Danio rerio: one gene and its partner. The protein of the gene in region 2 purifies or fractionates together with the protein of the main gene of each other region. This does not show direct contact. Links are inferred from orthologs where the notes say so. Each region holds a gene or a part of one and is shown on either strand. Other genes may lie near its edges.

What was found.
Region 1: the proteins of mtmr9 (region 2) and atp5if1b purify together in Homo sapiens (affinity purification with mass spectrometry; 5 studies listed by BioGRID and IntAct, with this or other methods). This does not show direct contact. The link is inferred for Danio rerio from reciprocal best matches to the Homo sapiens genes MTMR9 and ATP5IF1.

Annotation. Positions count from the first base shown.
Region 1 is NC_133192.1:25,996,724-25,999,949, reverse strand, and holds atp5if1b (ATPase inhibitor B, mitochondrial), read right to left. Parts: upstream 1,884-3,226; 5' UTR 1,818-1,883; coding exon 1,749-1,817; intron 1,235-1,748; coding exon 1,122-1,234; intron 971-1,121; coding exon 829-970; 3' UTR 618-828; downstream 1-617.
Region 2 is NC_133195.1:21,422,136-21,425,976, reverse strand, and holds part of mtmr9 (myotubularin-related protein 9), read right to left. Parts: intron 2,419-3,841; coding exon 2,277-2,418; intron 1-2,276. UniProt on the Homo sapiens protein: Acts as an adapter for myotubularin-related phosphatases. Increases lipid phosphatase MTMR6 catalytic activity, specifically towards phosphatidylinositol 3,5-bisphosphate and MTMR6 binding affinity for phosphorylated phosphatidylinositols.

The DNA of each region.
Region 1 (3,226 bases), on a different chromosome or scaffold from region 2:
TTGGACATTATCCAAACTACGCAAAAGGCGGTAGTTGACGTTAACTACTTATAAACCACCAAATACTACATTCCCACGGCGAGGAAACGCGAGATATGAGAATGTAAATTGTGCCACTCGAACGCACCTTATTGAATCGGTCCGCCATGATGTGGGAAAAGAAAGACACGCGGGGCCGCCTGGCGTAAAAGACAGGGGCGAGGGCGGAGCTTTCGCGTCATCGGAAATGACGTTAGGATTAGCTGTTCTTCAGAGGACGTTTGTAATGCCTGTTATTTATGTCTACTGCCATCAGCTGGGCTCCAATGAGCTACAACGCCTTTAAAATATTAAAAATATAATAATAAAGAAGTGTTGTCTCGAACATTTTCTAAAGCAGTGTTTCTCAATCTGATCCTGAAACCCAGCATTACGGCATATTTTAATATATCTCATATTTATACAATATTGGGTCATTCATTGGTGTCAGAACCTTTAATTGTCTGGTCAGATGACATAACCTATTTATATGACTGAAAGTAACAGTTAAGATACATTTAGCTCTCAAACCAATAGTTAGCTTTAGTTAGTTTAGCTAATAGTTAGCTTTCACCAAACGTATTGATACCAAGACACACTTTTACATTCGAGACAATTTCTTGTTTATTGTCAAAAGAGGGAAAATGCACTGGGTTAATACACAATGTGTTGTTTCAGTTATATAACCATATCTGTATTATAACATGCTTTTATAATAGTATAATCACAGAGTTCACTGTTTAGTAAATAAGCAATTACAAATATTCAGCAGTTTCACAATTCATGTGTTGTATTTTCTGTCTTAATGCCTCAGTCATCATGTTTGAGTTTCTTGATTTTGCTCTCGTGGCGGGTGATCTCATGCTGTAATCTCTCGATTTCCTTCTTGTGATGGTCAATCTCTTCCTGGTGGTGTCTTCTCAGAGCAGACAGCTGTTCTTGCTCTTTTCTCCTGTGAAGGAAATACAATGACAGAATAGGTCATGAAGTAACGGTTTAGGTTGCTTTACATTCAGTTATTTTTTCAATAATACTCAGCTAATGGCCAGTAGATATCAAGTATAAGCAATTACATAATTATCAGCTCAAGCAAAACCACTCACTTGAAGTACATCTCCTCCTCAGCGGCCTGTTTCTTGCCAAATGCACCTCCAGCCTGCCTCACGGCACCTCCACCACCACCTCCTTTCCCAGCACCTTTACCCAGTTCACCTAACTTTATCAGAGAGAGAAAGAGAGAGAGAAGGTTGCACAAGACAAAACAAAACAATTTATTACTCAACTAGTAATTAGTGACTGATAGGCTGACAAGCACCGTGTATATATGGATATATATATATATATATATATATATATATATATATATATATATATATATATATATATATATATATATATATATATATCCTGTAAAAGCAAGTCTTGCTGATGAAGGACAAAGATTGCAGAACTTTCCTGAATGTAAACAAAGGGTCACAACACAAGGGCACCCTCAAATCTATTTATTGCGTTAAAACGGTTCGGTGTTGACAAATTTTGATAACTTAGTATTTAAAACGTAAAACTAACATATGATAACATTAAGACAAAGTCAAAGCTAACGTAGTACTTGAGAACAGATTGCGAGTGACACTGCGTGTTACAGTACATAGCACTAGAATTAGTCAAATCATCTTTGTCTTTGGCAGGCTACGGAAAGTCACTGGGCGAAATATCATATAAATATCTACCTGATCGGACGACATCCTGATCTGTGTTGTTAAGAACTTCCTGATATTGCTGTTCAGAAACCTAGCCATTTTTGTTCAGGTGTTAACACATGCACTGACATGAGCGTGAGCTGCTGTCTGTAACGTCGACTCAAAACAGGAACGTACCATTACTGTAGCAATATAGGTGAGCGCTGTCTAAATCTCACTCATATTCGCAGCTACCCAAGTGTAATTTTTTGTTAATTAGCTAAAGTACGTCGACGTATTATTTTAAATATATTACTAAAAAGCTGGAAACGTATAGGGTGTTAGGAGTTTTTGTTGTTACTTATAATGGTACATTCGTCAGTCGCTGATCAGACGTGCGCGGCGCTCTTCCTGTCACATTTGGCGACATATTACACAGCGTTGTTTTCTAATTTGGTTCTCTCTCTGCAGGTTTAGAGCAAATATATCTTGTTAAATAAAATACTGTAAGCAAAACTTAGGTAAATCAAAACTACTTATTTGTTTTTCTCTAGAAAATATGTACAAATAAAATGATTATCAGAGCAAAAAATGAACCAACATTGCAGTGATATATTTTATTCTTAGTGATGCAAAAGTTAATCATTCCTGTCCAATCACTCCAGAAGTCAAAAGACATATTTTTTTGTGGGTTGTGTGATCCCACTGCTATTTCACAAAGTATTTGTAGCCTACAGTTCAGGGCTAATTTTCATCAGGTGGCCATTTCATTGACTCTTCAAGACCCTACTACTCCGCTCTGAGCCTTTAACATATCATTCAAAGTAAAATCTTCAAAATTCTTTACAAGATTGTATGCCAAATTAAGCAGCCAACTAAATCCTCATAAGTTCCAACCAGTAAAACTTAGATACCAGTCAGTTTAAATTCATTAAGAAAACAGCAGAGGGAAACGTTTCCACACATTCTCATTGCAACATTCTTGCACACTCAGGCACAGAGAGAAAATGTACTAAATTATAAAACAAGATTTCTAAACTACTCATTAAATATTCAAAATCACACTTGCCCTTTAAGAGTGCTCACATTTCACACAAAAAAAAATATTTACAGAACCCCTTTTTGGTTTTAGAATAAAGACAACAAAAAATATTTAGAAAGAATCGGACATTTCAGTTGGCCTTATTTAGTCGTTCAAGTTCTGAGCAGTGGTCTCATTGGGTGGTATATAACATCTAAATACTCATTCTGGTTATTTTAGGTACACATGGTTCTCATGGGATGTCTTGGTTTCATATAATGCAGAGTTCTCCTGTGTAATGCTTTCACCTCTCTCTAACAAAATGAATGGGTGTAACAATCCAGAGGGGACAATTCATCCTTTAAAATTAATAAATTAAAAGACAAATTAAAAGAGAACAGCTGTAAAAGGCATACTGAAACAAGCAAACTTAACAAAGGTCATGACCATCTCATCTCCATTGAAGCAAACAGAAAACTTTTTCCTACAGGGCGAGAACAAACAAATG
Region 2 (3,841 bases):
TGTCTCTCAGACATTGAACATAATTTTAAAAAAGTAAAATTTTGATGACCACGCATTACCATGCAAAGGTTTATTTCATCGCTATTCAATTGGCGGCCCATGGGCCAAACCCGGCCCCCGAGGCAGTTTGTTCCGGCCTTCCAAATAGTGTGACCAAGACATCAAAATTAAATTTTGTTCAGTCGAAAAACAGCCGCTTTAGTTATGAAGTGACGTGCGTCTGTCTGTTCATTACAGCGCGAGCTGCAGAGGCTGCGCAGAGCGTGAGTTACCACACGCGAGTGGTGCGGACAGCCGGAAACATTTAGATATGTTTTGTAGAAAATGCCTCTCACTGTAATTGTTAATAGGGATACAACAATTAGATGATTTCACTATTAACTGCTCTTTAATTCGTCACAGTTATTGAACCGTAAAGGCTTCTCTAAGCCGCATTTCTGTTGCAAGGAAAAGTTATGACAAGTTGTCACCTGTGGGCTAGTTTAAAGTTCCAAGTAGGCTATGTACACCGAGGCTAATATGCACGCACACCCGATTAACTATAGCAGTGGAAGTTCCCATATCACGTTTATTATTTTATTATTGCTAATGTAAGTATGACAATATGTGCGCACAATCGGAGCAACGCGCTCGCGTCTTTCCGGGCGCACGCAGTAGAAAACATCTCACGGTGAGAGTTGTGCGTGCCTTTCAGTGCAGTGTAAAAAAAAGATATGTTAGACGAATTATTATTAAAATGATTATGTATGTATGAACGCAGATGGCAACAACAGTTCATCTAAATGGCTACTTACCTAATATAAAACTTGAATTTACATTAGATGTGATAACGGTGAAACCATGATTATTCTTCAGACTATAATTATCAACCAAAATCTATAATTGTTGCATCCCTAATTGTTATGCAGTTCAAAACATAACATATGAATGTGTCTGAATGTAGAAAAAGCCATACTTCAAGAATGCACTGCTTTTGTTGTGCTCTGAAATGCAACATTTGAATGTTTATTAAAAAAAAAATTATAAAAAATCATTTTAAAATATATTTTTTTAAATTATGTTGTTTTAAAATACAATATATTCACATTTTAATGTAGAAAAAGCCAACGTGGGTGTCTTTATGAGCACAATTACAGCATATGGGCTCTTATATGCAGTTGTGTCATCACTCATATAGCAGGTTATATCTCTCCGGCCCTTCGTTTGGGATGCTTTTTATGAACCGGCCCCCATGACAAACTAATTGAATAGCCCTGGTTTATTTGTATTTTTTTTTTTTATAATATGGAGTAACATCAGGAATATTGTGAAACAGTCTAATGGTTTAATATAAATTAAAATTTATCTCAAAATTTAATTTATTCCGGTGATTTAAAGTTGATGTAATACATTTTCAGGATCATGTCTAAACAGAGCAGGAATAGAGAAGCATTTATTTGAAATGTAAACCTTTAGTAATTTTCTAAATATATTTCCTGTAACCTTATTACAATTAATTTGATACAATTTAATCGAGAAATCTAATACATTTTTGTTGAAAGAAAATATAAATTTCATTTTAAGAACAAATGTACTGGCTTTTGCATGGTAAAGAAGTACACAAATTAGATATCATGGCTGTTGACTCAATATACTAATTTGATTAATCGGTTATGGAAAAATGAACACACCTGCCCCAGCAAGTCATAATATAGTTGACTCATGATAAATGTGATGCGAAAGAACAATTTTTTGGGCAGGAGCTAGAAGAATAGCATTATGGATATAAAACGTTAAACACTAGGGGCAAAAAGTGCTCCGTATGAATTTCTGGTTTTAAGATACATCACAAGTATCAAGTTCATAAATACTTAATTGAGTGCTGTTGTTGTCCAGAATAGCAAAAGTAATTATATTTTAGATACAGTATTGTCTTTGCTTTAAGCTATAAAAGCACAGCAGAATAGACAAAAGTAAAGGGCTTTCAGTAACTAATGGCACTATACTAGTGGTAATAAAGTTATAGTAACCAACAATATTAACTTTTCTGATTTTGATGTAATGTAATTATGTCACCTTTTGTAAAGCTGCTTTGAAACAATTATTGTGAAAAGCGCTATACAAATAAACTTGAATTAAATTGAATGTAAATCTCCAAAGAACGTACTGTACAGCAGTTTCCTTTCTGAATGAAGACTTACTCGTCTAGCACCACCTAGTGGCCGCTTTGGCTTTTTATTCATAGCATTATTTCGTTTCATATACATCCAAAAAATATATCAATAAAACCGTTTCACCTGTAACCACTCTCGCTCAATCAGCGCCTCAAATCCCCGGATAGTTCTGCATGCGGGATCGAGAATGATCTGGGCAAGAGACGTCACCTGAAGTGTTGAATCTGTGCCCTCTGAGCCATGAACCAGCACTGACGCCCCTTCCCTACAGAACACCACAAAAATACACATGATCAATGGAGAGGGAAAATAAAAAAACATTTCAGAGATTGTTAAAAAATAGTTCAGTCATTATTTACTCTAAATAATATATATATATATATATATATATATATATATATATATATATATATATATATATATATATATATATATATATATATATTTTTTTTTTTTTTTTTTTATTCGTTCATTCATTTTTTTTTGGCAACCGTCAACTTATCCAGCATATGTTTTATGCAGCGGATGCCCTTCCAGCCACAACACAACACTGGGAAACACCCATACACTCTCATTCACACACATACACTATGGCCAATTTAGCTTATTCAATTCACCTATAGCGGAGGACTTTGGACTGTAGGGGAAACCTACGCAAACACGGGGAGAAAAGACAAACTCCTATTTTGGCTTTAGCTAGTTGGAAAATATCTAAGGATATGTATTCAGCAAAGTTTTAAATGTAAAACTGAAACACAAAAGCAAAATAAAAAGGCTAAATTTATGATTAACCGATAAAGGAATCGTACAGTTTGTCGAATGACATGCCTGACCAGTAAATGATGAATGATGAGTAAATGAAGGCAGAACTTACATTTTTGGGTGAACTAGCCTTTAACTGCCCCACCAAGAAAGCATTTTTTGGATTGCAATTTTTTGGATTGCATTTCTTAACTCCTAATGTCGCTAGTTAACAAACAATAGGCATTTTTTTCAACACATGCTATAATTTCTAAAATATTAACCTCTACCAAATGGTAGATATGTTGGTTTATGGTAAAAGTACCGGAATTAATACATATACTATAAAAAATATGAAAATATAAAGTATAAGACCAATTTATTTGAAAATTATTTATTTATTAATTATTTATTTAATCAAAATAAAACATTTTTTGAATACTAAGTGAAATTTCACAAACTAATTTTGAGGGGAGCATGTGATATTATTGATCGCAGCGGGTCTCACATCAGTAATCAATTGTAAGCCAATCGGATCATTTCAAACTCACAAAAAATAGACTGACATGCATTACTCCCTCATCTTTATTTTTTGAAGAATCCCCCATCCACCCCATCTCCACTTTTCCTCCTATACTAAGGGGGAGCTTTCGAGAACTACCTGATCTCGTACCCACTCACATGCTCATTGAACAGGCGGGAGCCCTGGGTTCAATTATTTCCACGCTCAGGGTACTCTCCCGGGACAGCATGCCAAACCTGCTAGTATTATCATCTAATATCTAAGTGTTAACACTTGAAATCATCTTTATTTTGTGAAGTATGCCACAAAATATTTCAGATTTTCATTTAACATGAATTCTTGTTTTGTTTATTTTAAATAAAACCAAAATCATGTGTAGTAGTGCAACAGGATTATGTTTGATTTTTTTTGTAAACCAACAATG